4 linked regions of the Rattus norvegicus genome follow. The protein of the gene in region 3 interacts with the protein of the main gene of each other region in a biochemical or structural test. Links are inferred from orthologs where the notes say so. Each region holds a gene or a part of one and is shown on either strand. Other genes may lie near its edges.

Region 1 (7,225 bases), on a different chromosome or scaffold from region 3:
ATCCCTAAGGAGCTGCAGGTACCACCACCTGCAGTTTTGAAATCAGTTCTACATACAGGAAAGTGGGGGAGTGAGGGGGCTGTAGATAAAGCCCAAATAAAAGAAAATGGCACCCAAAGTGCTTCGATCCCAACTGTAAATGTCTAATCAATCTAGGTTGTCTTCCAAGGATGAGGGATCCCCAACTTAGGAGTCCATTTTATTGGACTAAGTAAGCATAACAGGCAAAATCCCAAGCAAACCACAATAGACAACTTGGTGTCAACCTGGCTAGGTGCTATAAGGGTATGGAAAAGTGTCCTTGAAGAGTGCATGGGGCAGGTTGGGGTGGGGTTGCAGGGGCCTTTTGTCATTGGAAGAAGCAGGAGTTCAGAAGGACATATCCTGGACCCTCCAGAGTTCCTCTTCCAACCCCTCCTCCCTCTCCAGGGAGGAATCAGAAGCAAGACTAAGAGGATCAAAAGCAGAGCAGGCAAAAGGATTGCCTGACAGAAAGCTGGTTGCAGGGTTTGCTTTTATAGCACAAGGAAATGGATACAAATACACTAGAAAGTCCAGCTATGATTCGGCAAACAGAATGGGGCAAGATCTCTCACTTAGTTCTAAAACCATTCCATAAGAGACAAACATGGTTGTATCTTAAGCTATCAATTCGAACTGTCAACTACGGTTCCTGATCACTAAAGACTGGCCAGGAAGTGCTAGACGAATTCTATGATGTTTCACTCTTCCATGATTACACCGCAGGAAGGAAGCTGGGGAACGTTAGTGAAAATACACAAGACAACACACACTTGACAGTTCATGGCAGCAGCTCACATGGGACGTGCCTGTGGGTGTTTCTGGAAGCGTAAGACTGCTGTCTCATTTGCTACTTTGATAAGGTACTTCTCAGTCAGACAGATTTCGATAGATATGAGACATCTCTGTAAACACAGAAAAGGATATACCAATATGATGAAGATATGCAGCTAGATAAGGACTTCCTGAACAGAGGTTAAATCCCAAATGAAAACTGACCAATTAAAATCCCACAGCAAAGTCAAGTTTATAAAATTCACCACTATACTTATGGAGCAGAGGTTGAAATATGGGATGTGCTGACACTGCCCAGTCCCCAGTGAGCAAGAGGTTAAGAATCCCACTAGAAAAAAACTTGTGTGTGTGTGTGTGTGTGTCTGTGTGTGTGTGCGCGCACGCGCGCACGTCAGAAGAAGGGCCAGGGGCCCTGGTGTCATTCCATGCTCAGGTCTCCATCTGTCCTGACAGGTACCCTGCCCACACTAAGCTTGGCATTAGACTTCTGAGTAGGGTTGAGGGTAATGGGCCTGGAGCCCCTGTTGGGCCATGCAATGATTCTGGCAGGCCATATGGGCCTCTGTATCTCCTTGAGCTACCACATGTGACCCAGATGCTCTAGTCCACTTTTCTAAAGTAGAAGGTAAAAAGACTTATTGTTTAGGGTCTGAAAGCCTTTTGACTTTTTTCTTAGCAAGAGCAAGAGCTTCCTACCTTCTTGTTCTTCACAGAGGCTAGGGAGGGCTCAGAAGAGCCCATCGCTTGCTCAAGGTTAAACATGATACCTGGCACTGGCACTGGGAAGTTAAAGGGCAGAGAGAATCCTAGGACTGCAGCTGACTGCTGTCAGGTAAGCATGTGGTTGGGCACTGCAGCTGCCTGGAACAGAAACAACTAGAAGCTAGGGGAAGAAATGAAAACATGAAATGGAAGGAAGAAATGGAAGGACAAAAGAGAAAGCAATCAGGAAGTCCTTATAAAATTGCAGCAAACACTTAGAGTTTCGGAGCTTCGTGGGAACCCTATGTGCTGAGCCCACTTTAAAACAAGCCCAGGTATATACATATACAGGTAGTTCTGAACACTGCCATTGTCTGGTGGCTTGTGGGACAGTGTCACCATTTCAAGCCAGTTTGCTTTCAGAGCATCTATTTGTTTTGAAGTGGGAACATGAAGACTCAATAGTGCAAATAATTCTAAGCTGTCCCTAAAGGAGAACTGGAAAGCAATTGGAAGAATATTTTTCTTTCTTCCCCCTTAACTACTAGTCAGAGACTGCTCTCTTGCTCTGTGGCACTAGGCCTGGCTTGACTCCACCTAGCCTGTACTTTGTCCTGCTGCCTCCATGGCACTTCTTTAGCATGAACTTCTAGGGGAGCATGCCTTGTGAACAGATGATGACACTTTACTCTGGGCCATCCTCTTCTGTTGCTCAGGCCAGTTTATAAGCCAACAGTTTAAGACTCATCTCTAGCCATGCCAGAGCTGGATCAGACAAATGCCACTTTCATTTTTTGCAAAATGTCCTTGTCAGTTTTGGATTGGGTTGGTGTGGAGCCAGACTTGTGCTACCACAGTTGGAATTACTGGGGCGCAATCACTTGCCAACTCTATAGTCTTCTCCCAAGAGTCCTATATAGTTTCTCCTGCGTCACACCTCCCAGTCCCTCAGATTGGGAGTTGGGGTGGTGTAAAAGTCAGGGAAGCTATGGACAGGGCATCAGTGGCACCAAAAATGGGAGTGTCCTCTCAATTGCCCTCTCTAATGAGCACACAGGGGATAGGGGTGGGGTGAGGAGGGAGGGGGTTGTTGTTGTGGGGAGTGCCTGGTCAACAGCTTGTCTGGTCAGTAGTATCTGCAGCAAGCCTTGTTGAAGGAGCCTAGTTTAGAAAAGTGCAAAGCTACTTCTGGCCCTGGTTAGGTCTTCAACCTGACTGTGCTTGTCGGTAAGAAAAACATCCCAATGCTCCAACTACTCCCACCCCGAAGCCACGAAACTCTAAGTTTACTGAAAGAAAAAAAAATATTTTTTATTTCAGTTAATCGGGAAGCTTTGTCAGAGCCCTACCCATAAGGAGAAGAGACAACAGCTGCCTTTATTCTTGTTGGTTTGCTTTGCAATCCGCTCTATGTAAAGTCAGCTAACTCTCTCGGTCACGGGCGTCCGGCTGTCCACAGGCTCCTCTCTGTTTGGCCTCGGCATGGAGGATGAAACAATGTCTTTGCGCTCTCCCTCCCCTCGGTGTTTGTACTTTTCTGCAACTGTGGTGGTGGTGGTGGTGGTGGTGGTGGCGGCGGCAGCAACCATGGGCTGAGTCTTAGCTGGCTCCTTGGGGCAGCCATCGCTTTCCAGTGAGCCTGCTCGGGGCATCTTCTCCTCTTTGCAGATGCTGCTGCTCAAGTCCTGAGGCTCAGGGGGGCTGATGGGGTCCTCAGAGCTCTGAGGCTCAGGTGGGGGTGGAGGTGGAAGCAATGGCATGGGGGCCTTTGGGGACTCTGCGTGATGGTGGTGATGATGGTGCTCCTTCTTAGGTGGTGAGGAGGCACTGCTGCTGCGCCCCTTGGGGCTGCTCTCCTTGCTTTTACGCCCAGGGCTCTTGCATGTCTTCAGTCCCTTTCCACTCTTCTCACCAAGTGTAGACACCAGCAGGGGCTTCACCACCTCCTTGACCTCAATGCTGACGGTTTCCCGGGTCTTGCGCTTCTTGATGGGGAGCACAGTCTCCTGCACAGACCGTATAGAAGATTCCTTCACAGCTTTCTTTTTGGCCTCTGCAGCAGCAGCTGCCACCACACTCCCAGGCTTTCTACCCCGTTTCTTAGGAATGGCCTGGGGGTCAGCTTCAGCTTTTCGCTTTCTGCCAGGGCGTTTGATCACCATGACCTGCGCAGATGTGGTAGCCCCACCTCCCTCACCCTTACCCCCAGGTGATGCTTGGAAAGGCATCTTGACGAGAAGTTTCCCAGGGCTCTTCTCCAGGACCCTTTTCACTTGAACACCTTCTGATGCTGCTGCCTTTGGTCTCCCAGTGCCGCTCCCTTTCGGGCGTCCCCGACCCCTGCCAGTTCCTGGAGCTTTGGGAGATTTGGGCTTCTTAGGTGGTTTCTGTTCTCTCCTGGAAGGGCTCCCTCTCCCAGTTACAGTGAAGTCAAAATCATTAGGGTCCAAGGAGGTGTCTCCCACCTTTTCAAAATATGCAATCAATTCTACTTTAGAGCGAAAGGCTTTTCCCTGGGGACTGTAGAGACAAACAGAGAGACAAACAATAGTCAGAAGCTTTTTGATAACGTAGAGACTGACTTAGAAAATGTAGTACTGACAAGCTTTCTTCTAAGACATTGTAAATGAACAACAAACTGAAGTGCTAAAATTATTGGAGGGCACACCTAGGTCAGATGCATAGTAGAAATCATGTTACAGCTTGCTCAGAAGCCAATGCAGCTGAATCTGAAAACAGAGGACCTGCCCACTTTCAAGCACACTTCTCTGTACTTCCTGCTTCTCCACAATACTGAAACCAAACGGGTGAGGCCTGGTACTTGGTGAACATTGGGCTGGGTCCAATCTGTTGGTTGGTACCCAGACTTAACCCAACACCAACACATTTCTGCATTTTAACCAAGGCATGATGTCCAGCCTCTTTGGGAAGCCATTTCAGTGCAATAAAGCTTTTGCATCCTAGCCTTCCCACCCACCTGGCCTTCCCTGTTCTGTAGACACAAGACTTGCTCTTACTTACTTGATCAAATATACATCATACTTTCCAGCAGAGCGACCAGACTTCCTCTGTTTAAGCTTTCGCGTCCAACCTTCAGGCAAGGTGGGGTCATCATACATAGGTCCCCGGTCACGAATGATGGAACGTCGCTGTTTGGGAGAAGCAGAGGCTTCTGGTACTGCTGGGGCAGAGCCTGAGCTTTCTGATGTCTCTGCTTTGCCTGCCTCTGCTGGCTCTGCAGAATGGTGGGCTGAAGGCTGTAGTGGTTCATGTTTGCCCTCTTTGTCTTCCTTCTTGTCTTTCTTCACCTTCTTAAACTTCAGGGGTTTCTCTTTGAGGCCCTGGAGATCCTGGTCTTCTGACTTTTCCTCCCTGAAGTATTAAACAAATATGTAAGTATTACAGAGAGCATAGCTGTCTGCACAGTAGTGAGTATAGGTGAGCTTGAATGCCACACATGAGACCCCTGGCTGCTGCATACTCTCTCTGATTTTGGTAACTTCCCTAGGACAATGTATCTTTGGGCCAAGCTGGGGCCCAAAGATTTCTTTAGCAGCTTTAGGTAGTTGGTGATGTTGGTCAAACACATTCAACTTTTATCATACTTCTCCAAACCCTAGTTCTAATGCTCTTAAAGTGGCACATGTTTTTTTTTTTTTTTAATTTTTTTTCTGGAATATAAGCACTGTAGGGCTGGCTTCTTAACATACCACTGTCAGAAGTCAGTTTGTAAGTTGCACCTAATGGCCCCTTGGGCTTGCCACATGACAAGACAAAACATGTAAGATAAATAAAATAATACAGCAAAGCCAGAAAAGGGCATTGGATCTCTTGGGACTGAAGTTACAGATGGTTGTGATCCACCCTGTGATTGCTGGGAAATGAATCCAGGTCTGCTGGAAGAGTAGCCAGAGCTCTTAACTTCTGAACCATTGCTTCAGCCCCCTGACTTTCCAATTCAAAGCAAGGACTGCAGCAAGAGATTTCAGCAGTGTAAGCCCCAGTTTCCTCATCTCAACATTAGATAATATAATCTCATCCCTGATGCATTCTTTTTGTGAGAATCATGGACAAAAGGCCCCAAGGTACTGTATAACTATTGCTAACTCAGTCAATTAGCAACTGCTGCCTAGGGTTCCAGTATGAGAAAAAAGGAATCTTGGGTCACACGGGTCTTTACCACAAAATACCGCCCCCCCCCCAAAAAAAAAAACAACTCACCAACCACCAAAAACCAAACCAAACCAAACCAAGGGGAACCAAAACAACAAAACAAAAACAAAACCCTATCCTTAGCAGAAACCGAAGAAAGAGAAAGATGTAATAGAACAGTGTATGGAAAATGATAACTACCAATTCAAGTATAGGACACCTGCCTATTCTTACTTGTGGACAGAAATAGCCTCCTTCTACAGGTTTTGGTTCTTCTTTGTGGGGTCCCTTCATGTACTTTAGGGTTCAAAGCCTGTCTCTGATGCTTTAATGACCACTGTAGGGAAACACAGCGAGTCTTTCTCTGACTAGAATCTGGCCACACTGCACCTCTGAGCTACAGGCCAAACCAAGAAAGGTTTGGAAAGAAGTAGCAGCTGCCTATTGGCCTAAAACTAAGAGAATTAGGGCTGTGATGTGCGCTTGGAAACCTGCAGTCAGCTTACAGTTCAATCTTCAGACTGGCTTATTCAGACTCTCTCAGTGACAGAAGAAAAGAGGGGGGTACTCACCAGCAAAGCTGGCAAGACAAAAGCCAACAGGTACTCATCACATGCATGTAACTTCACAGGCCCCCTTTGAATATCAGTGCTGCTTCCCTGATTATGAACTTGAGTTTGAGAAAACTACTAGACTAAGAGGGCCGGCAGGCTTCTTTGGAATTTTCACTTATATTGTGAAATATGTGAACCACCATCAAAAACAAACTACATGAGCAAAGGAACACTTTCTAGAAATCTAACAAAAAGGGCATATGATTTTCACTAAAATTTTATTTTTACTAGCTAAGAATGCAGGCCTCTCAGAGCCTCATCACCAAGGAGACTAGGAGAATCAACTATGGGACACCTACATACTAGAAGGTTGTGTAGCTAGATGAGTATCATGATCTTTTTTGATGTAAAGAAAACAAAACAAACTGCAGACATATTTCCCATACGGATCAGGTGTATAGGATTGTAGGTTAGCTTAGAAACTAACGGAAGTCTAGAGTAAGTGAAAACAAGGTAAGAACTCTTGCTGAACACTTCTCAGAATATATATTTTTCTAATGAATCATAAGTCTTTACATAACTAAGAAGTAACAAAGCTATAATATTATAATACATGCAAACAAGAACAAAGAAGTTTAACTATATTATCAAATATAATGTACTACACAAAAAGACTAACTTTTGACCACAATACTTTTGTAGTGGGATATATTCCAAAGCCAACAGTAATATTCCAGGGGCAGTATATACATTAAACCAGCTCAAAGGTGAAATGGGTGACTCTGATTCTGGGACATCCTGTAGTGCCGGTAAAGCTAGGGATGGGAGTACAAAAACAGTGGGGGGTGGGGGAGTCAAGAAAAACTTTTAGCAATAGCCTAGGCATGGCCAAGGATGTAGGCAGTAATGAATTTGGGATCTGTACAGTGGGGGAATCAACAAGGCAGAACACTAAGTTAAGAACTGTGGGCAGACAGTAGTGCCAATGGATTAGAAAGGGA
Region 2 (7,566 bases), on a different chromosome or scaffold from region 3:
TGGCTCGGTCATCTGATCCGCCAAGTCAAAAGAGAGAAGTGGTGGGTGGTGGAGGGGTTGTAAACACGGGCTTTTAAAGGACAAGGGCCAGACTTTGGTTTCTTCCTTCTATCTGAACCCCGTCCAGTTCAATTTTACACCAGGCAATTATGGCCCATAGACTGAAGGTAAGTTTGCTAGTCTGGGTGTTTGAAAACACCCAGAGATTTCCTGGAAGGTACGGAGCCAGGTAGCAGAATAGCTTCCGTGTGTGTGTGTGTGTGTGTGTGTGTGTGTGTGTGTGTGTCACACCCCGGCCACATGGTGAAGTCACACACATGCCATTTCACTCACAGTCTCTGCCTGCCTGCCAAGAGGGCCAATGCTTTTATCTGCTGGTATCCTGGTCCAGATGGGTTCGGACTAACTTGGTATCTCTTCCCTGGTCAGACATTTGCCATCAGAGGTTAACCTCCAGGAGACACAGCAGGACTAACAAACAGCCCCCACCCCACCCCCAAGGCTCCACACTCCCAGGAACCTGTGTGATCTCCCCATTGCTTCATCCAGAGGGAGAGATTCACCTAGAGGCCATTGTTGGACAAGCAGAGGGCAAGAGCCTCACCCACTCACCCACCCACCCACCCACCCACCCACCCACCTGGAGAGGCTAGCAAATCACTCAAGTTCACAGTACAGTATACCAGGGGAAATACTATGCAAATGCTACTTTCCTCTGCTCTCCTTCACCCAGACACTGCCGGTGATGGGGCTCCACCCATGCTATAAACAAGTCAGGGCCATCTACCAGGGCAAGCCTGGCTGATCCTGGGGGAACAGGGCTCCGAAAGAAACTTCCCTATTGCTTCAAATCACTGCGAAGGCAAACAAGCCAGGAAGTGTGGCTGTCTGACCTTCCAGAAACAGTACAGAACTGGCCAGGCCCTGGGAGCCATGAAACTCTAATGGGGAAGGTCAATGTGCCTTCATTCCTTTACAGATGCTTCACCGCTGGAGAGACAACTTGGGGATGATGTTATCCCTGCCAGCAGTGACACACTGAGGCCATCGGTGAAGTCCCCACTTCTGACCTGCCTAACCGGGAGACCTTTTCACTGGGCCTTACTGCCCATCCCTGCCTTGCCCACTCCTCCCCAGCCTCCCCTGCAAAATGCTAGACAGCAAAAGGGAATTCTGCATGGCAGACTTCAGCAGAGCCTCGGGACGCATTCGGGCAAGTTTACGCTGAGCTCCAGGGGCTCTGCCAGCTTCCTGCTCTGACCCAGAGTCCACCACCCTTCCCCACCCCCACTCGGCCACTCCCTCTGCAGGAAGCCGCCACTTGACAGCACATGGCGTGCGTGCGTGCCTGTGAGGTCAGCAGACCAGCTCTCGGTGTCTGCTTACACAAGAGAGAACAAGTTTGGTTTGCTAAAAGCGGGCGCCCAAACCCTGTGGGCGGCATGGCCCTGTGGAGACCGAAGGTTTCAGGAGCAGAGCAGGGAAGGTTCTAGAAGGCTTCGTGGTCCCAACAGATAGTTACATTTTTGCTCTTCCTCGGGGACGATTCGGTAAACTTTGTATGGCTCGGAAATGTCCAGCTGGGACCGGTCGGTCACCTCTTCAAAATCCGGGCTCTTGTTCAGAGCGCAGCGTAACCGTGTCTTCCACGTGGCTGGCTCAGCTTTGTCTCCCTCTTTAAACTTCCCTTTAAAAACTGCCCAGGCCTGAAGAGAGAGAGAGAGAGAGAAATGCAGTAAACACAGAAGGACACAAACCACAGAGTTCAACCCCAAGGCAGGCTGCACACCACCCCGCTCCCCAGAGTCGTTCCTGGCCATCAACCCTTGTCCAAGGTCAGGACTTCACGAAGACCACTGCATCTGAACCAGCAAGAGGGTCCCCCAAAACCACGCAGCAAGGCTGGAATTTGAACCCACACCCTAGGATGCATCTTCAGCAAAGTCTTCTGGCTTGACGGGCCTGGGGGGCCTCAGGTTACGAAGCCTGAAGAGGAAGGTGTAGATGACTTCACTAGCACAGTCAAAGACTTTCTGCCTTTTCAAATAATGCCCAGAGCATGAAAAGGAACACACGTATCCACCACTCTCTCCTTTTAATAGAAAAATTTGCTTTTGCATTTTTGCATGACTCTAGCCATTTAAGACTCAGTGAATTGTTCTCCCTTTTTTTTTTTTTAAATTCCATTTTTTCCAACCTGTCCAAAGCTTATGATCAAAGCAAAGACCAGGAATTAAAAGCAGGGGCCTACTTAATACAGTGCTTGCCATGTAAGCATGAAGGCCCGGGTTCAAATCCCCAGTACCCACAGAAAAAGATGGGTATGTGTGCCTTTGACCCCAGCACTGGGGACAGGGCAACAGAATCCCCAGAGTTTGTTGGCAGCCAGCCTAGCCTAATCCCTGAGCTCCAGGTTCAGTGAGATCTTTTGTCTAACGAACACAGGTGGACAGTGATAGACAGAGACGCCCAGCACGGACCTCTGGCCTCCAAATGCGCACACACACGCACATGTACACCTACAGGGGACACTTATGTTCTAGGGCAATGCTCTCTGCACTGTTGATGCCAAATCTTGTATTTCTGCTCAGCAAGAAGCTAGAGGAACATTCCAACCCCCCGGGCCTGAGTGGTCACTTCCTCTCTGACATAGTTGCAAACCCACTTTTAGAAATATTTTTTTTTAAGTAGACAGTTTCCAATTCTGGCCCTTGTTGTAAATGGCGTTGCTGGCCACACACTGACTTGTGGGGCTGTCGTGAACTCAAAAGCAGACAAGAACAGCTGGAGTGACTGGAACAGTGACTTTGGGGCTGGGCTTACTGGAAGTTTCTGCCTCTTCACCACGGACATAGTGAAGACCATCCTACACATGAAGGCATTCTCCAGCAGTACCTCTCCCTGGATATAGCAACCTGGAACATCTGCCACCCCCTCCCCCAAAAATCATTGGGTGATTTAGGCACCTGAGGAAGCATAGATACCGCGGCCGTTTCCCAGTCGGCAGGCAAGGGATAGATCTGTGGTGTCTCACAGCATTCCCCAGTTTATCCCTTCATTCTGGGCTCATGGTTCCTCTTCGAGGGAAGCCTGGAGGCCTCGGGTATCAAATCAGACTCCACAGTCAGGGAGCATCTGAGACAGCACTGGGTACCAGCATGGGACTACCCTGAGCTTAGAGATCTGCTCATCTCTAAAGGGCTATCTTAGCTGCACGGTCTCCAGGGCTGAAGCTATAGAATGGGTGGTCCTGGGACCCACAGAGGCACCTACTGCTTGAAGTTTTCCTCTGCTGACATCGTGTGGTACTGTGCCTTAAAAATTAACACTGGGCAGTGTAGCTCAGTTGATAAGGGATACTTGCTCAGCGTGCATGAACCTTGGGTTCAATCCTCAGCACCGTAGAAACCAAGTATGGTGGTCCACACCAGTAATCTGAACACTCGGGAGGTAGAGGCAGGGGGATCAGAAGGTCACGGTCTTCCTCAGCTACGTGGCAAGTTTGAGATCAGCCCGGACTACGTAAGTTCTCAACTCAAAATAAAGTAAAATTAACCCCTGTCCCATCCTTCAAGGCCCTCTGTACATAGAGTAAGTGATAAATAATTAAGCCTATTATTTATAGGAATCTCAGCCCTTGCCTGATTGACATAAGCTCAGTATCTTTTTCATTCTCTTTCTGTGGTCTACACAGGAAGCAGGCCCCAAGACGCTGCCCGTAGACAGTGGCAGGGCTCTCTGGTGTAATCCCTTTCCCTGGTAGAAAAGCAAGCGTATACCTTTTCCTCAGCACCTACATTTTTTGTTTGTTTGTTTGTTTTTTCGGAGCTGGGGACCGAACCCAGGGCCTTGAGCTTGCTAGGCAAGCGCTCTACCACTGAGCTAAATCCCCAACCCCCAGCACCTACATTTTTAAAGAATTTAACTGGCTGAGAAAAGTGGGTTTCTTACTTAAGCAGACAGCCCCCAAGATGGTTCTATCTGCCCAAGGCCATATCATATGGTTCCTTCAACAGCCAAGTTGTGCCTGACAGATGATAGGGAGGTACCCGCCCCACACAGGACAACTCAGAGAAGACCCTCATCACCCCGTGTCTCCTGCCACTTGCCCACCTCCCGATCAAGTGGGCACCCGTTGATCTCCTGCCATTCCTGCTGAGATTGATGTCTCATTTCAGATTGCCACACAGAGCGACTGCGTAACCAACGGAAACATTGGGAATCTTGCGCATTCTCCTCGGTGCTGTTGAAACGGCTCGCTGGCCATGAAGAACGTTGCATAAGATGCATAAATCTGGGGCTTTATTTCAGGGCTCCTGGTTTGCTGAAGCAGGGAACTGGATGAAGAGAGATCTGCTGTCTCCTGCAACAACTGAGGCCCCTGGTCCAGAATTCTGACCTTTTTTTTTCTGGAAGATTCGTGATGCTCTTTCAACCAAGCACACTGTGCCTTCCTGAGCTTACTGTCAATGCTAATCACGATATGCCTGGTTCAGAGTTGTCACTGGAAAGGGGATACTGTGCCCCTGGAGTACAACATCCATGACAGTCTTGGCAGTCAGAGTCTCTACAGGTCCTGCTCCCCGCTTAAAAACAGTCTCGAGTCAGTTTCTTGTCCTCAGCAGCTCAGTGGGTCTCATGGTCCTCATAACCTTCCAACCCCAGCCCCAGCTCCCAACAACATACAGAACTAAGGGTAGCGGTTTACAACCTGGGCTCTGGGTCAAACCACTAAGGCTACAGCTGCAGTTCACAAAGTAGAAGTGTGGGCTGACCATGACCTAGGGCTCTGAAACTCCCAGAGAGAAATGTAGACGCCCAAGGCCTTAGAAACACTCATAGGTGACTAGAGCAACCCTCATGGGACCTTAAGGAGAAATCACCCTAGTTCTCCATACTGTAAAGAGTCAAGACCTTGGACCAACCGATCCCAAATGCAGGTTCTATCGCACAGGAGCTCGGAGACCCTGGAGAAGCCACTTCTCTCACGGCCCTACGGAACGCAAACAGGACCAGCACCTGCCACCCAGGGGGAGGATGCTGGCTCTCAGCTTAGCTATGTGGCTTGCCCTCAGTGATAGCATTCAGTCCCCTCAGAGGGAGACATTAAGCAAAAGCTCAGGATGCCCCTTGAACCTGACCCGGAAGCAACTGTAGAAGCCTGTCACCCTCATAGCTGGTCCCACCGTGCCAAGAAGGACTCAGGCTTTGAAAGAGCAAAGCCTGGAGCCTTCCTCAGTACGCCGCCGGGCGGAGCATGGCTGTACACCAAGGGTGCAGAGAGGGACAGGAAAGTCACTCTCCACCCCGTGAGGGAACGTGCCAGAACCAGGCACCCCTCCTTGTTTCTCTTGAGATCCTGGGCTATTTAGTCATAGGACATTCCTAAATACCTCCAGAGCCAGAGGGAAACCAGAGACGGGGCGTGGGGGCGCGGGGGACTGTACCTTGAAGATTGAAGCGTCCACTTCCTGGTTGTAGTCTTGCTTGCCTGCGTGTTTCCAGGGGATGCGGAACAGGGTCTTCTCCTCACTCTCCCAGATCAGCCCCGGGTACATGCTGCTGTCAATCTGTTCGATCAGCCACTGTCGCAGCCGCCGCCCGCCATTCCGGTCACACATCCTCGGAAAGAAAACAGACTTCGGTATAACGTCTCTGTGAGTCAGAGCAATCCGGGACCCGACAGACAGGAAGATCAGAGGTGCACACAAAGGCGCCGGCTTGGGAGACATCTGGGCCAGCGACATGAGCAATTAGCAGTGCCTGGTAGTCCTAAACCCAAAGGAAAACCGAAAGGCTGTTCACAGATGTGCCCCACCCACGGCTCTGGATGTGGGTCCAGCTCTTCCCTGACCTCCTGTCCTAGACATTGAGGGCACCTGCTGGGAAGAAGCCCCTCTCCCATGATTCAGTGCTTTCCATGAACTGCCCACCGCTCTGAGAACCACCCTGACGACTGATTCCCATGGGGGGACTGGTGTTCCTCACAGACTTTGACCCCAGCACCACCTGAGAAAGAGAGCACCCTCGAGGCTACTTGCAAACTGCCTTTGCTAGCTAGGGTGGTAACAGGAAGATCTTAAAGAGTAATAGGGTTCTGTTCCCGCTGGCGTGGGGTTTGAACTGGAGTCGTGTTCCAGCTCGGTGACCTTGCAGCCATTTCACCTTAGAGTGTTAAGAATTTGGTCTGGGAGCTGTGAGTGTAAAGTACCTGCGTCAGAGCCTGTGTCCTAAAGGACTCCTCCAGCCATACAGGTAGTTCCTCAGGAACTTTTATGATCAACCCTCGGTGAGAACAAAGGAACGGTACAAAGCCAGCTCAGGGATTCCATCCCCAGACACCCTAACGGCACACTTAGACATTCTCACCGGCAGTATCCTGAAACTTTGCCTTCAGCTTGGGGAAAGAGAGCATTTGTGCATACAGACTTGCAGCCAGCATTTACTAGAACAGCCTGGAAATCCCCAAGGCAGTTGGACAGACGCCCACCCTGGAAACCAGAACATAGTACTTCTAGCCTTCCAACTAAAATGACCTCTTGGGGCAGGGGAAGAAAGAAGTAATCATCGGTGAGGAGATAAGATGTTCCCCCCCAACCCCCCCCCCCCGGAGAACAGTCACTTCCAGAGCCAGCATGTCCCACAAAGCAACATAGCAGTCAGGATAAGAGGTTCACGGGTCAGGAACTCCAGGCTGCGCCAGGTGGCCCTGGGCCCAGGAAAGCCGGCAGCAGCCTGAGAAGAGGGAGGTGAGGTCTCTCCAGGGCGGGCCCTAGCTTTTCTCTCCAGCGGCCCCAGCTGCCACCAGTGGGCTTGGAAGGGGGTGAGGGCTGGAAGCAGAGTCAGACTCCAGTCCATTTTGGGTTCTATTTTTGAGACAGAATCTCAGATCCTGACCTGACCTCCAATTCCCTAGGTTGATGAAGATGGTCTTGAACTCCTGATCCTTCTGCCTCCATTTCCCCCTTGCTGGGGACTGGACCCAGGGTTTGTGCCTGCTAGGCATGCGCTCTGCTGCCTGAGGCACCGCTCAAACAAAACAGCAAGATGGCTGGGAAACCCTGACCTCAGCAAGGGGCTTCGCCTTGGGAAGCCATTGACTCCTCAGTCTAAGGACCCTCCCAAGAAAAGCAGGAAAGGGGTTGGGGATTTGGCTCAGTGGTAGAGCGCTTTAGGAAGCGCAAGGCCCTGGGTTCTGTCCCCAGCTCTGGGGGAAAAAAAAGAAAGAAAGAAAAAGAAAAGCAGGAAAGAGGGGCTAGCTCAAGAAACTGAGAATTCCAAGACCACTGTATTCATAAATGACAGGTCAGAAAGGAATACCTAGGGAAAGAAATAAAATGCTACCAGGTACCCCCCCCCAAACCAAGTAGGGTGCTGGCTTCTACACCTTGTTCTGGAGAGGAGAGCGGGGGCTCTCCTGGCTTGATAGTGTCTTGTGTGGCCTCTAAGGATGACTGTGGGATGGGAGCTGGGTGGGGTGTCCAGAGTATCTGAGGCTATGTCAATTGAAAGCCTCCATTTAACCCCTGGAGATGGATTTGTGAATCGTACCCCATGGTTCCTGAA
Region 3 (7,566 bases):
AAAGGACTGGACTTTTGTTTTTAAATTTTGAGATAGGTTCTCTCTCTATGCATCCCTGGAACTTGCTATGTAGACCAAACTGGCCTCAAACCCGCAGAGATCCTCCTGCCTCTGCCTCCCAAGTGCTTGGTTAGAGTCACAGCTTCCTTCACTGTCAAAAGGAAGAGTCCACGCCAGCGTCTGTCTCCTCAGAGCAGAGAGAAGTGGGCTGCATTCTTAGCGAGTTGCCTGGTAGGTTGTAAGTTAGCAGCAGTCATCCTGTCAAGCACTGAGGCCTTCTGCATGGTGGATGCCTACAGGATATAGAAAGTGGACATGGAACTGTCACAGATATACAAATAACCTCTGAAGGACTGAGAGTTATACTAATGCTATGTGGGTGGACGCTAGGCAGAGGGCAAGGTGGCACAATAAAGGGACAAAACAGTTAAGCGCTGCGTTCACTAAGAGTTGGCCAAGCCGGGTACAACGGCACATGCCTGTTATCCTGGTACTTGGGATGCGGACACAGGGGGATCAAGACTTCAAGATCATGCTCTGCTACACAGCAAGTCTAAGGCTAGCCTGTGCTATATGAGACCCTGTCTCAGGAGAGAGAGGGGAGGGAGGGAGGGAAGAGAGAGGAGGAAGGGGGGACGGAGGGGGAGGGAGGGGGAGGGAGAGAGGGAGAGAGAGATAGAGGGAGGAAGAAAGGAAGGAAGACGATGTCAGAACAAAAAGGAAAAGAAAAGAGAGCTGTCTAGAGTCAAGCATGATGGTTCTGTAATGAAGCAAGAGAATCACCATGAACTAAAGGCTATCCTAGGCTACATGACCCATAGGTTCTGGGCCAGCCTGGATTATAGAGTAAGACAGGAGAAATAAGGATCAGGAGGCCAGAAAGGCTGACCTTTGCTCTCTGAATCATTTCTTGGACGCTCTTTCTGGGAGCCCCATATTTGGGATGAGTGTGCCTACCAGACTGCTGGTTACGTAATTGCCTGGGCACCCAAATCAAGGGGAAAGGTGAGGTTTTGAAACCATTGTAGCTCAGGGAGTCCTGGCCATCGCCTTCAGGAGACCGAGCAGGGAGCAGGGTCCCACATTTCCCCACAGTGCCTCACACTACTGTCATCCACGACAGCTTTGGGAAATGCTACTTTAGGCTTCAGAGCTAGCAGAGGTGGGGTGGGGCCAGAAAGAGTTAGGTCAGAGGCCTCAGCTCTCACCTAGAGGACCGCAAACATTCACAGTTCCTGTCTCTGGAGCCAGAGTGGGCTGAGGTAGAGGCAGGGAAAGATAAATGGCAGTGACCTAGAGGAAGCTGTGTCTGCAATCCAAATCACAGAGCCCCATTCTGTCCTTGCTGGTTTAGTGACCTTTGTCTTTAGTTCTGGGGCTCAAACCAGGACCCTGTGCATGAGAGACAAGTGCTTCTACCATTGTGATACAGCCCTAGGCTTTTTTTTTTTTTTTTTGGTTCTTTTTTTCGGAGCTGGGGACCGAACCCAGGGCCTTGCGCTTCCTAGGTAAGCGCTCTACCACTGAGCTAAATCCCCAGCCCCAGCCCTAGGCTTTTTGTTTTTGTCTTAAGATAAGATCTGCTTTCTAGCCCAAGATAGCCTCAAACTTTTTTTTTTTTTTTGGTTCTTTTTTTTTGGAGCTGGGGACCAAACCCAGGGCCTTGCGCTTGCTAGGCAAGCGCTCTACCACTGAGCTAAATCCCCAACCCAGCCTCAAACTTTTAAAAACATATTTTTTATTATTTACTTGTCTCTGTCTCTGTGTGTCTCTGTGTGTCTTTGTGTCTCTCTGTCTCTGTCTCTGTGTGTGTGTGTGTGTGTGTGTGTGTCTGTGTGTGTGTGTGTGTGTGTGTGTGTGTGTGTGTGTTCACATGTATGCTTTAGGAGTCCAGAAGAGGGTGCTGTTGACAAGGGTGGTCTTGAACTCACAGAGATCTCTCTGCCTCTGCTTCTGGAGTTCTGGGATTAAAGACATGTGCCAGCGTGCCTAGCTTGCCTTTGATGTTCTTTCCTCTATTTTCTGATTATTGGAATTACAGATGTGCTAGCTCAGGCTTTTTAGGACAAATATGAGTGTGACAGGAGTCAATGTTCTTCTTTTGTGCCATGTTCTGTTCTAAGTACTCCCCCAGGCATCAGATAGCTCATGCACTCACAGTGTATAAATAAAATGGGTATAAACTATTAGACCCACTCAGATGAGGAAACTGAGGTCTAGGAGCATGCAGCAGTAAATGCATCCCGGGTTTGTCTGCAGCTCCAAGGTGTGCACTTTTTCTTTTGTGCCACAGGGTCCCCTAGAGATCGCTCAGACAATATGGCACATGGACAGGGTCTTGGTAACAACCTTTTAAGAGGGGAGTCAGAGACTCAGTGGGGAAAAAATGTCTAGGCTCATACAGCCCAACACCACTTAGCAGGACAAGAAAGCTAGAGCCAGGCATGTAAGCTGAAACCTCAAAAGACTAAGTCAGGATGATCACAAGTTCAAACACAGCCTGGATGAGACCCTGCCTCAAAAACAAGGATTGGTGAAACGGCTCAGTAGACGAAGGCACTTACTGCCCCCAACCTGAGTTTGATCTTGGGACCCCTGAGGTGGAAGGAGGGAACAGACTCCTGAAAGTTGTCATGTGACCTCCACACGTGCACAGCATATCTGGCCCCTCCCAATAAACAAATAAATAAAAGCAATTTAAAAAAGAGTCCTGTGATATTGGTGCACAGCTGGAATGCATACGCATACGTCCTTTCTCAGAGGATGTGTGAGTCAGGATATGTTTGTGTGACAGACATAGAAAAAGCAAGAAGATCATAGGTACACATACCTGCGCGTGCACACACATGCACACACACGCACACACGCATACGCTCACTCGCTCACATGCATGCAGGCACACGCACACATGTGTACATGGAGGACTTCCCCTGGTCCCCCACCTTCCACACTCCTTTAGGCCACAAGAGGAAATCCTTCTCCTAACACCATGCTTTCATGTTTTTCTTTCTCTTCTTTTTTTTTTTTTCTTTTTTTCAGGGCTTCCTAAGCAAGCGCTCTACCACTGAGCCAAATCCCCAACCCCTTTCTTTCTCTTCTTAAATTCATTTATAGATTATATGTGTGTATGTTCTCCTGTGCGGCACCATGCTGAATCCAGGTCATCATGCTCAGTGGTGAGAGCTTTTACCAGCTGAGCCATCGCTAACTCCATACCATACTTTTCTTTTGGAGCCCAAATTGTGCCCCAAAGTCCCTCAGATTGGCAGGAACTTTTGTTCCTAGAAAAGGTGCAGGGAGAAACCACATCGCAGATCTTCCCAGGGCTGTGAGGCTGCTTCCTGAAGTTGGGTTCACCCTTCCACAGACACCAGACACTCACGGGGGCTTTCTGGGGAAATGTCTTCCTTCAGTCTCCCGGGAACCTGGGTGTGGCTGCCCCTGGTTTTACAGAAGCAGCACTATAGGTTTGGACAAACTCTGGTATGTGAGAAATGTCAGTCCTGTGACTTCGATCATACCCTGACCATGTGACAGGACCCATGCTTGTGACTTAGGTAGTCAGGAGCCTGGGGAAGGTCACAGAGACAGGAAAAGCAGTCAGTTTTCTAAGGCCTGCTGTGGGTCTAGAAGCCCTTACGAATGTAAGCTTATTTGTATTCTCCCAATAGCAATTCTACCTATTTTATAGGTTAGTCCACTGAGGCCAGAGAGGCCTAGGCCGGTGCTGAGGTCACACAGCCAACAAATGGCAAAGCCAGGATTCAGGCTAGGGCTCAGAAGCCCGTGTCTGGGCCCAATCAGGAAGCAGGATACGGAGTGGCTGCTGATAACCACTCCAGGCATGACTGTTAGGGGCTTTGATACTGACATTTAGGAAACCTCTGTAGGCCTCAGAGTCCTTTCTATAAAGCAGCAGTGGAGTGAGTGAACATCACAGGAGATGATTCATGTAAACTTTCTGCCCAGGCTGAGTGATTGTTCTGTTATTGTACCCTCTCCCTGCCCTGGCACCTTGGCTCATGCCCTCCTCCCTGGCTTTCTCCATAGATCACTATTGGGATTTCTCCACACACCATGTACACAGCGAGTTTGAGAGCTTCCCTGAGAACCACTTCACGGAGCTGCAGAGCGTGCAGCCCCCGCAGCTACAGCAGCTCTACCGCCACATGGAGCTGGAGCAGATGCACGTCCTTGACACCCCCATGGCACCGCCCCATGCCAGCCTCAGTCACCAGGTGCGTGCTGCTGGCTGTCCTCTGTCCCCCAGGCCTCCAGCCTGTGGTGAGGCATGGAGCCTTCACAGGAAGCTGACATAGGCTCTTACTCAACGTGGCTTCCTGCTCTACAGAGCCAACGGCAGCTGGTACCCCAACGGCTGTGGTGACCTCCCGCCTGACCTTAGGAACCCACACCTTTATCTCACAGAGGATGGACAGACTGCATAGGATCCGCTAGCCCTCAGCCATCTTCTCCCACCCCGTTCCTGTTTGTGGCCCTCAGGGTCCCATTGATTACAGTTCCCATTTACTATCTTTTCACGTACCCAGAATCTGAGTCACTTAAGTGCTAGCCTCTACTGATGCCCTGGTTCCCTGTTGATCTTCATTGCTGACCGTTCTTTGCTCCAGGGACCCTAACCCCAACTACTGATCTCAGCCATCCCTCACTGACCTCCACTCCACTTTCATTGGTGCATTACCCCCTTCTCAGGGCTCACTCACTTCCTTATCAAGCCTAACTTATTGCTCCCAAGAACGTCCCCTCTATTTCTAGTCCACTGCCAGGCCACATGGCCCCTTTACATGCACGAGGATAAAGCACACCTTCACCTGCCCTAAACCAGAGGCCACAGTGGGAAGGCTCAATAACTAGCAACCCATTGACCTGCACCCCCGAGTCCTGGTCCAGACTGGCCCCTAGTTTTCTCTTCTCAGTCCTCGCCCTGCTGACCTCTCTACAGCACTCGGTCTCCAAGTCAGCTGAGCCCTCCTGCAGCCCTGGGCTATCCCTTATCAACTTCATGTTCTTCCTTCCTTTTGCAGGTTTCCTACATGCCCCGGGTGTGCTTCCCTTATCCACCCTTGTCCCCAGCCCACCAGCAGAGCTCAGATGAGGAGGAGGGTGAGAGGCAGAGCCCTCCACTGGAGGTGTCTGATGGAGAAGCTGATGGCTTGGAGCCTGGGCCAGGCCTTCTGCATGGGGAGACAGGTAGGATTCAGCCCAGGATCCAGATGACACTAGCTGCATTTATATTTATGTGCTTTGCATATTCCTAGCCAAAGGCCAAATGGCCTAGCAGCCATGTTCCATACAGGTGTGTGTGTGTGTGTGTGTGTGTGTGTGTGTGCATGCATGTTTGTGGATGCTTCTTTAGTACAGGTCTCTAAGTCTGTCTGTGTTGTGAGTAAACAGGCATATTTTCAAAGTTCACGAAGGTCTGTGTGTGTGCATCAGTATTGTGTGAGTGGCACACTGTGTATACGTGAAGGCCTATGAGTGTTCGGGGGCCTGTGGGTGTGTGTAACATCTTGTGAGTGTGTGTGGACTTATGAGTGTGTGAGGGCCTGTGAGTGTGTTAGGTCTTCTGTGTGAATGCCTGCATGTAAGGCCCTTGGATAGGCATGTAGATATGTGAGAGCAGATGTGGATATATGTATGGATATGTGTGACCTGTAGGTATGAGGACTTGTATACATGGAGGGTTATGTCCATGAGTGGGAGTGGACATGTGTGTGCTTGTACTTACCGTGGCCGGGAGGAGCTGCAGGGAGGGTCCCTGCAAAGTCCTTGCATCCTGTCCACACTCTACTTGCTTGCCCATCTCCCACAGGCAGCAAGAAGAAGATTCGTTTGTACCAGTTCCTGCTGGACCTGCTGCGTAGCGGAGACATGAAGGACAGCATCTGGTGGGTGGACAAGGACAAAGGTACCTTCCAGTTCTCGTCCAAGCACAAGGAGGCGCTGGCGCACCGCTGGGGCATCCAGAAGGGAAACCGCAAGAAGATGACCTACCAGAAGATGGCGCGCGCGCTGCGCAACTACGGCAAGACGGGCGAGGTGAAGAAAGTCAAGAAGAAGCTCACTTACCAGTTCAGCGGCGAGGTGCTGGGCCGTGGGGGCCTGGCTGAGCGGCGCCTCCCGCCCCACTGATCGCCTGCAGAGCCCGCCAGGCTCCCGGCCCCCGCCGGCCATAGCATTAACCTGTCGCCCGGCCCGGACACAGGGAGGACATTCCCAGGGCCGAGGCAGGACTGGGGACCCGGCCTCGCCCCGCCATGCCCCGCCTGGCCGGCCCCGCCCGCTTCGCCTCCCACCAGGACTCTAGCCAGGCCCAAGGGCTGCCTGGGCCTCGGACCTCACCCGAGGGTCAGCCTGGCTTAGTGGCCACGGTGCTTCTTTGGGAGTCTGGCGTTGGCACCTTTTTGTATATTGAATGCTTTTTAAAAAGCTCTTCATCTTCCCACCCCACCCCCCATCCCCATTAGCCTCAAAAGTAAAATTATTGCTGGCTATTCTCCCAGCCAAGAGTCTCATTCAAGAGTTTGTGTGTGCCGGGTCGCCCCGAGTGCACGGATGTCTCTCTTACTTATCCAGTGAACATGTTTCCAAAGCTGGACCCTAGGGACATGGGGACCGTGGACACACAGCACTTATTTCTAGTAAAACAAGTCCTGGGTTGTTATCAGGGATCGGGGATCATAATGAAAGGCCCTCAGCACCAGGAAGGGTTTACGTCTCAGTGAAGCTTGAACTCATAATCTTCTGAGTGCGACACACAGTGATGGTGGTGATGACCACAGCAATAAGCACAGGTGTTCTGGTCACTTAGCATCTGTCGACTTTGAGATGACGAGCCTAACATCTCCCAGCTTTACAGAATGGGAAACTGAGGCTCATAGTAGTTAAATAATTGTTTCAATGTCGCACCGCTGGATGCTCTCTAGGACTGTCCATCACATCAGGCAGGGTAGAAGCTCCACTTATCTGAAAGAGGAAATGCTTCTGCAGGAGTGAAGTCCAATGCTCCTGGTGCCACCCAGCATGATTCTGGATGATTTGATTGTGAGCCTAGCCTTTACCAGCTGCAATCTTTCTAGCATGGACGCAAAGCATTCTTTTTTTTTTTTTTTTTTTTTTTTTTTTTTGGTTCTTTTTTTTCGGAGCTGGGGACCGAACCCAGGGCCTTGCGCTTCCTAGGTAAGCGCTCTACCACTGAGCTAAATCCCCAGCCCCGACGCAAAGCATTCTTAATGGAGACTCCATAGGCACGGCCTTCCCTTCGAAGCACTTTGCTCCCAGGAACTGCAGGCAAGGGACATCTGTAAACATCTTGTTTCATTTAGGTGATGTAGACAGAATGTAGGCAGGTGATGGCAGTCAGGGAGTGAGGGCATTTCCCAATGTCTGCACATCTCAGGAAACACAAACCCTAGGGATGTCACTGTCGGGAAAGATCCCTGCACACCTCCTGGCCACGCTGATGTTCCCTAGTCAGATTGCCGAGTCTCAAGAGAAGCCTGTGGATATGAGCTGCTGATAGCTCTGTGGTAGAGCCACAGTCTT
Region 4 (8,250 bases), on a different chromosome or scaffold from region 3:
CACCCTCAGACAACTGAGTGCGGGGAAGCCAGGAGCACTAGCCACCTTTGACCAAGATGTGGCCCAATTCCCTCCCTCTTGGCCTTGAGCACATGAAAGCTCTGAACGGTTTTGTGTCTCAGGAACTTGCTTTCTTGCTATGGGGATAGGGTAAGCAGTGCCCGGCTCCATTGGCTCAAAGGCACATAGGTTTCTTCACCTCCACCCCACAGTGGTTTCTCTGTGAAGGCCTAGCTGTTCTAGAACTCACTATGTAGACAAGGCTGGCCTCCTAATGCTGGAATTAAAGGTGGGTGCCAATGCCCAGCTTGGCACATAGATTTCTAGGCAGACTCTATTCCCCCTCAAGACGCACATGAGGCAGGCCAGTCCCTAAGAGTACAAACCTTCAGAGGTGGAGGGCATGGGCGACACCTGCAAGTTGTACAGATCAGTGGTGCTGTCTGGCATGATGTCCATCTGCATATGCCACTCAGAGAGACTGCTGCTGACGACGCACGGTGACAGAGCTGGGAGAAGGTGCAAGTCAGGACGGGCGTGCTCTCTTAGTTTGCAATACCTGAGCCCCTCCACCCTGCACGCTTCCCTGACAGAGTCCCATGATTATGCCCCACACTCTTCTCTGTTCCCACGATGCCTCTTGGGTGGAACCTAAAAGCGCCCTTGCCACAGTGGCGACCTCACCTGGGGTAATGTCCCTGTCCATGTCCAAGTCCTGACCCAGGTATCCCTGAGCTGTGTAACTGCTGTGGTCATCAGGCAGAGTAGAGCTGCTCAGTCCGTCAGATAAGGTGTCAGGGCTAGAATCTCCGCACAGCTACAGAGAGGAAACAGCTTAGGCCTGCTGTGGCACTTACCCACTGCCCCCCTACCTAAGGCTGGGCTGCTTAGAGTCAAGCTCACCTTCCTCTTGGTTTTGCTCTTAGTGTCACGGCTGGACTTGGACTTTCTCTCTTTCCTCTGGTTCTTGGTGAGGGGTGGCAGCATCCGGTACACGCGTACAGCAGAGCTGCCCTTGTTCCTGCTCTGGTCCTTCACTTCCTCGATGTCTGGTAGGGAGTTCATGGCACACCGGAAGTTTGCCTTCCAAGTCTTGGGATCTGGCTCTTTTTCCCCTGCTTTGTATCGGCCTACAGACCAGGAGAATAAATTCATCCATCAGCCGCTCTCTGGGCTGGGAGAAGAAAGGCAAGGGTACCCCACCCCAGACATCCATACAGGGGTTAACTAGCAAAAACCACTGTCAACAAGTCCTGGGGGTTCTCATATGCCCAGAGTTGGCTCAGATATCCAGCAGGGATGGGAAGGGCTCAAATAGGCTCACTTGAGTGTCTCTACCCCCCATACATGTGCTAACTGTCTTGGACCGAAACTGTCTCCCTGCTTACGTTCTCAGCAGCCAGAGACTTCTGGGACTGAGGCTTATCTGATGTTTGTGAAGTACAAGTGGGCACAGAGCTGGCAACAAGGACAGTTACTAACAGGTCTGAATAGGATCAAGTGCCTGATTCCTGAAAGAAGAAAGGGGGGCCGGCCACCAACCAGATGGGGCTTGGGTCAAGGACCTTTAGTTAGGACCTTGAGAAAGGAAGATAGAAGTGTCTGGGTACCCTGATGCACAACTGTCTTTTCTACGGGACAACTGCAGTCTAGACAGACCCCTGAAAGTACACATACTTTCTAACATTTTTGCCTTAAAAATACAGGTGCACCTCATCCCCTGGTTCCAATAATTCTGCACGCTGTGTCGGGGAACTGAGAGGCCACCCAGAGCATGGATGGTAGCCTGTATCCCCTCTGTCTCTCCTCTGCCCCTCCCCCACCCTGCACACCTGTGTGAATGGCCCAGCTCCGGAACAGACAGGCATCCTTGTTGATGTCCCAACCGTGCTTGGCAGCATGCTTCCATGGGATCTGGAAGATCATCTCTTCCTGAACAGTGCACATAGAAGACTGTGTCAGCTCCGAGTGCGGCTGAGTATGCACGGGTCCCCAAGTATGGGAAAAGGCTGACTTCCCCTTTTCACCCCGACATCTGGCCTAGATTGACCCATCCCAGCTGCCTTTAACGGGTAGGCGCTCTGCATCTTTTAGGAAGGGGGTCTAAGTTCTGACGAGCCACAGCACTAGAAGGTCAACAAAGACACCCCTGCCTTAGCTCCTGGGGTAAGCAAGAACCTAAGCAGTGCCCTCTCGGCCCTGGCCTGGCAGGTGTTGGCTGCTTGTTTATCTCTGGCTAATGAGCATTGGAACATGGAAACTTCTAGCTGCAGTCTCCTCAGGACACCAAGCACATTGGCTCCTATATAGGGTCCTGCTCATACACCCAAGGGAGCCCTGGGCCAGACCTGGATGAGGACTGCCTGTATAGTACTGGCCTATTCCTCTCCCCTTAAATAAGACAGAACTCAAAGAGAAAAGGTTTATCTATGTGTGGGGACAACAGCCACAATGAATAAGGTTTTGCTTTTATTTTTTAATTTTTATGCATGTATTATGTGTGTACGTGTTGGACGTGCGCGCAAGCCGCGGCACCCGTGTACAGGTCCAAGGACAACCTGTAGGAGTTCGTACTCTCCTTTTCCATGAGGAGATTAGGGATCAAAGTCAGGCTGTCAGGCTTGCTGGAAGGTGCCTTTATCTGCTGAGCCAGCCCTAAGATGAGGATCTTACCACCATTCTTGTTACTACTGGCTAACGTATCCATTTTCAACCAAGTTTGGGTTTCACACTTTTTACCACCTTGTAATCTATCTTAAAGTGCCTCAGTTTCCTTCTCTGAGACCCACCTCTCAGGATTACTATGACAATTAAAATGTGCAACTTGGTATCATATTTAAACGGTGCTAAGCACATAATCATTATAACCAATGCTGTCACTGCTGCTCTACTGCCAGGTGTGCCAACTGTGACTTCTTGGGTTCCTACTTAACTAGCCCTGTTCCTAACCAGCATCGACCGCTTTTCTGTCTCCTGTCTATCCAACTGGAGCTATGTGGAATGTTAGGGATACAGCATTTCTCTTGGAAGAGAAGACCCCGGGCTCTGCAGATGCTGGGAAGTCTTGGTGCTGAGACTGTGCCTGCCACTAGGAGGGTGGACTGGCCACAGCTTCAGGAAGGAAGAAGCAAGCGGCAGAAGTCAGACCTTAGCCGTTCTGGCATGCAGCACCCACTAGGAAACACATTTTCCTGCTCTCATGTTCGATAATGGAACTTGAGTCCCCCCAAGAGAACATGGGTTAAAACAGCAGAAATACCCAGGAGAACACTCACTTTATTGATCCAGCTCAGCCCTGGAATTTGGTTGGAATTAATCTGCATCTCTAGCCAGGGTCTCATTCGCATCCGAGTGATAGGCATGGTGGCTGGAGGGAGAAGACAGAAGGCCTGTGTTTAGAGTCTGTTAAACAATCCTGGGCACTGCCCTGCTCCACCCAAGGCCGATCACTCAATTACCTTCCCCGGTCCTCACCCAGGTCGTTACCCTCCCCCACTCTCCTGCCATCAACCAGGTAACAGGTCCCACAGTCATAGAGAAAGGACCCTACAGTAGAATGAAACTTGGCAGCACCATAGGCAAAGCCACCTGCCCATTATCTCGGTCTCTCCCAGCCAGCCTCAGGAAGAAACAACCAAGCAAGTCTGTCTGAATGGTTTCAGGATATATGTACAAAAAAAAGTGGGGGTGGGGGTGCGCAAAACACATAACTTTTTTTTCTCAAAATTCAATCTTTGGAGGATGGAAGGGACTGCTTTGCTTGTTGTCACCCCCAGCTCTACACCTTCCAGGCTGGGCAAGCAAGTCACCCTCCAGGGCACTTCCCCCCACCCATTCCAATCCAGACTACATCCCCTCTTGACAGCTAGTGCCCACAACATACAGCCCGGGGCACAACCCCTTCCGGCCTGGTTTCCCCTGCTGCAAAGAGAAGTGGCGCAAGCAACACCTGTGGCACCTCCTCCCGAAAGCCTTGTAGTTCACGACCGGGTCCAGCCAGTCAAGGCAGCGAGCCAACCTCTGCCACTGAACACTGCGCGTTCGAAACCTACAGCCCAGGCGTCAAGCTGCGACCGCCAAAACTGCGCGCGGGCGGACATCCGAGTCCCCGGCGCTGCTAGCGGGTGCGCGCGATGGCCGCTCTGGGCTACCGAGAGGCCCCGCAGCGGCTCCGCGCACGCAGACCGCCGAGCGCGGCCAGGGGGCGGTGCACGCCGCGGCCCGCCTCCCGGCCGCTCGCTCGCGGCGCCCTCCCCAGCCAGCGAGCCACCCCGACCCAGGGTGTCTCTGGCCCCCACTTCCTGGTGCCCCGGGCGCCTTTTGTTTCACGCCGCCCGTCCGTACCCGTGCAGCCCCGGCGGGCTTACCTTTGCTGCAGGAGCGAGTCACAGAGGGTACCCGGGAATGAGGCACGGAGTTGCGGTGTAGGTACACGATGCGTGCACGGAGCGAATGATGCCCGAGATGCTGGGTTCCTCTGGCCACCGCTGACCTCGGCTCAGCTCGGCCCGGTTCGGTTTGGCTCAGACAGTGAGAGCTCGTCCTACCTCGACGAAGGAGTAGTGCGCACTGGCGAGTCGGCGGCGCCGCGAAGAAATCTAAACACTTAGCGGGATTCCCCGGCCCGAACTCGGCCACGCCCCCGCCGGGCCGCTCGCGCGCGCCCATTGGCCCACTTCGCCTCATCATTTCGGGGAAATCAGGCTGTTGTAGAGCTAAGCGGCGAAGGGGAAGTACAAGGCGGCTGCGCTCCCCACCCCCTCGGCCCGCGCCACCGCCCCGGGGCTCCCGCGGGCCCGCCCCGTGCTCCACTCCACCCCCGGCCCCCTTGCCTGTCTTGGAAAGCCGAGGCCCTCCCTCTCGTCCTGTAGGCTCCTAGCCTGCTGGTTCATGTGGCGGTCTCCCCCTTCTCCTCCACCGGAGACACCTAACTCCCTAGGTCTCCAGAACACCTGCTTCCTTCTCCAGAAGGGACCCCCGGACCGAATCACCCTGAAAATCAGTCTGGTAATGAAGTGTCAAAAAGGGAGGGATTCGGTCCCTATACTGCTTTAGATGATAACTCTCTTAACGGCCACTTGCTGCTTTGAGAAGTTGAGGCAGAAGGCCTAACTTAGAATGCAAGGCGGTAGGAACTCCCAGCCTGGACTCTGCAGGCACAGCTGTTGAAGGACGCAGGGACTCTTAATTTCCTTAACCTCAAAATGGCAATAGCCCACTCACTAGTCTGCAGCGATGGGAGTTTCAGGGAGACACACCGCGTCCTGATGGGGAGAGATGGTGTGTGTGCTTTCCTGTGCCTCACGAGGTTCTAGCAGTGAACAAGGTGACCCTTCTCCCTTGTATCTCTGGGACTACCTGAAAGTGGAGAAAATTCAGAAGTGACTGTGGTTCCTTCTAGGACTCCTGCTTCAGCTCTACATCCTCTCTGTAGCCTTTGGGAGAAAGTTCCTCTCTGATAGTCTTGAAGGCATTTCTGAGTCCCCAAAGCCTGGCTCTGGAGAAGTTCCGGGCAGCATAGGGAAACTGTGGCCAGAATCGGGGACCCAGGTCCCAGAGGGTTGGCAAGGGCAGCGGGTTAACTAGTGCGCAAGAGTAAACCTTGCCAGTTTGTTTTCTCCTAGCGGCTGGGCTAGTGTGTACATGTTCCATGCCGAACTCTGGCTCCTCGGGCTTCTTCCTTCACTTCCCCACAGCATTTACATCAACCCTCTATGGTGTCATTCTCCTGTGTCACCTTCCTCGCCCTAGCTGTCCGTCTAGGACAGCACCCAGTTTAATGTTGCAAGCTCTAATACACACATCAGTGAATGATCTCAATGTCACTGCCTCGAAGAGGAGATTCGGGAGCTAAGAGATTCAAGATGGCAGGAGGATCTTGGAAGAAGGTATCGAGACTCTAGAATAAATAGGGAGGTGGCATTTGGAGTATTTTGAAGTGGCAAACGAGAATCGCTAGAGACCGGGTTGGGGGAGGGGACTTCTGAACGCATGACTCAGAATCATGACACCTGCTCTCCTTAGAGCAGATGGATACTTGCTCTGTTGAGATACTCTGACACAGCCAAGGAAAATTCAAAATGAGATTAGGGAGAGGAACTTTGTAACTAACTCTTGCAGCCCTCAGAGACCCTATTGAAAGCACCAGGAGACTGCAAATTGCATTAAAATACCTGTGTGGGTATACATAGTGAAAGTCAGCCTGTGTCCTGGAATGTCCGTCTGCAGCATTGGTGAGTGATGGGTACCTGTTTTCTGTCATAAGGATAAATAAAAATTTACCCACTAAATACCCTCTTGTAGGACATTTAGGTTATTTCCACTTTTTCCTCTATAGAGACAACACTGTGAGCAAAGTCTCTACACACACACACACACACACACACACACACACACACACACACACAAACACTCAATCTTCCCCTTAGCAGACACCTCGGTCCCACCCTCACTGCTAGGACTTACCAGTGAAACTGGCATTTCCATCGTTTAAATGTTCTGTGAGAGGTTTCTTTTCCCCCCACTTTGACTTTTTTTTAATTTATTTTGATTTTTTTGGAAAAGGATCTCTTGTAGCCTGGGTTAGCCTTGAACAACTCATCTTTCTGCTTCCTTTTCCCAGGTGCTGGGATTACAAGTCAATACTGACATGCTTGCCTGGTACTTGATTTTAAACGATAAAGAGTCTGCCTATGATTGGGTGCAGGGCTGTGTTTTTTGGGGGGGGGGGGTGTGTTTTGTTGTTGTTTTAGTCTTTATTGAGTTTTCAATTTTTGGGGGGTGGGGGTGGGGAGGGTCAAGGCAGGGTTTCTCTATGTAGCCTTGACTGCCATACAGAGTTTCCTCTGTAGACCAGGCTACTCTCAGACTCATAGAGAGCTATCTGTATCTACCACCCAAGTGCTGGGATTCTAGGCATGCACCACCACAAGTCAGTTTCTAAATTTTTTTTTTTTGAAACAGCTCACCATATCCCAGGCTGACCTTAAATTCTGCACTTGCTTTTAGCCTATCCAACGCTGAGCACGCTGGTCCACACCACTTCATTGAGACTATCTGGCACTGGGAGTGGGACCTAGGCTTTGTACACGCCAGGCAAGCTCTATGCTAACTGAGCTACATCCTCAGCTCAAACTCTGTCTTCCCACTCCACTTCCTGCTCCTTCGGTTGTTCTTAGAAAAGTGTGGAAAACAGAATATAGAGAGAGCTGAGTCTGAAATCTTGTGCTTTTGGTGATCCCCTGGGGCTGGAGGAAAGCTGGTGAGAAGAGATCTTGCTGCTCTTGCAGATGACCTGAGTTTGGACTCTAGCACCCACATTGGGCTTCTCGAAACCATCTGTGATTTCAGCTCCTGGGAATCTGATGCCCTTTTCTGGCCTCCATGGGCACCTACACTCACTCGTGCACACACACTTAAAAATAAATCTTTTTTTTTAAAGGAAAGAAATTATTCTCCCCAGTCCTCAATTTGCTATAAACCAGACATAATCTCTACTTGTATCCTCCTAATTGTAAACAAAAAATATCAGAGGCCACTATTTTGGACTGAGCTCCCGTACTAGGCTCCAACAGACCGAACCAAAATGGAGTCACTCACGCCAAGTGCTACATTATTAATTGAAATTTTAAGGGAGCACACAGATCTTAAACCAAACCAAGGTTTCCTAAACACAGGAGTTTAAGTCCCCATGAGTTAACGTGAGGAAGTCCCCTCTGCACCTGAACCACCCTAGCGTTAACCAATCAGCTATTTTCCTGATGTTTGGCTTCCTTCTTTCTGTCCTCACAGAACCTATCTAGCTGTTGCCCAGCAAGAGCGCTTACTTTAATCCATGAATCATACCTAACTCATGAACCATAGCCCGTAAGACTCATAATCAAATTTCTTGCAGTTTTTTCCTGTGAAATCAGGTAGACTATCAAAGTCCTTCCCAAACCATTAAACACTCCTCAACTGAAAGGTAAGGACAGTCCTTCCCTGTGCTTCTGTGTTCTGAACCTCTCCTCACCTCTCTCTTTCTGTTGCCCCCCCCCTTTCCTCCATTTCCCCAACACTCAGGAATACTTCTTCCTCTCCCCTAACTTCCATTTCTACCTGCCCCTTCTTTTTGTTTAAAAACAAGGTCTCATGTAACCCAGGTTGTCCTTTTAAAAATATATATTAACTTACTACGTATGGGTGTGTAGTATGTGTTCAAATATGATGGTGTACATGCCACAGGGAATTGGTCTTCCACTTACATCTGTG

What was found.
Region 1: the proteins of Spi1 (region 3) and Mecp2 form a complex in vitro, tested with the Homo sapiens proteins (2 studies listed by BioGRID). The link is inferred for Rattus norvegicus from reciprocal best matches to the Homo sapiens genes SPI1 and MECP2.
Region 2: the proteins of Spi1 (region 3) and Irf8 form a complex in vitro, tested with the Homo sapiens proteins (3 studies listed by BioGRID). The link is inferred for Rattus norvegicus from reciprocal best matches to the Homo sapiens genes SPI1 and IRF8.
Region 4: the proteins of Spi1 (region 3) and Irf1 form a complex in vitro, tested with the Homo sapiens proteins (2 studies listed by BioGRID). The link is inferred for Rattus norvegicus from reciprocal best matches to the Homo sapiens genes SPI1 and IRF1.

Annotation. Positions count from the first base shown.
Region 1 is NC_086039.1:156,938,323-156,945,547, forward strand, and holds the end of Mecp2 (methyl-CpG-binding protein 2), read right to left. Parts: intron 4,891-7,225; coding exon 4,540-4,890; intron 4,039-4,539; coding exon 2,937-4,038; 3' UTR 2,922-2,936; downstream 1-2,921. UniProt on the Homo sapiens protein: Chromosomal protein that binds to methylated DNA. It can bind specifically to a single methyl-CpG pair. It is not influenced by sequences flanking the methyl-CpGs.
Region 2 is NC_086037.1:65,700,945-65,708,510, reverse strand, and holds part of Irf8 (interferon regulatory factor 8), read right to left. Parts: exon of another isoform or gene 6,212-7,566; intron 5,623-6,211; 5' UTR 5,622-5,622; coding exon 5,448-5,621; intron 1,707-5,447; coding exon 1,523-1,706; intron 1-1,522. UniProt on the Homo sapiens protein: Transcription factor that specifically binds to the upstream regulatory region of type I interferon (IFN) and IFN-inducible MHC class I genes (the interferon consensus sequence (ICS)). Can both act as a transcriptional activator or repressor.
Region 3 is NC_086021.1:97,541,682-97,549,247, forward strand, and holds the end of Spi1 (transcription factor PU.1), read left to right. Parts: exon of another isoform or gene 1-293; intron 294-4,050; coding exon 4,051-4,238; intron 4,239-5,045; coding exon 5,046-5,211; intron 5,212-5,749; exon of another isoform or gene 5,750-5,833; coding exon 5,834-6,153; 3' UTR 6,154-6,523; downstream 6,524-7,566. UniProt on the Homo sapiens protein: Pioneer transcription factor, which controls hematopoietic cell fate by decompacting stem cell heterochromatin and allowing other transcription factors to enter otherwise inaccessible genomic sites.
Region 4 is NC_086028.1:38,414,241-38,422,490, reverse strand, and holds the start of Irf1 (interferon regulatory factor 1), read right to left. Parts: upstream 4,557-8,250; 5' UTR 4,368-4,556; intron 3,368-4,367; 5' UTR 3,363-3,367; coding exon 3,276-3,362; intron 1,933-3,275; coding exon 1,833-1,932; intron 1,131-1,832; coding exon 904-1,130; intron 818-903; coding exon 685-817; intron 510-684; coding exon 387-509; intron 1-386. UniProt on the Homo sapiens protein: Transcriptional regulator which displays a remarkable functional diversity in the regulation of cellular responses.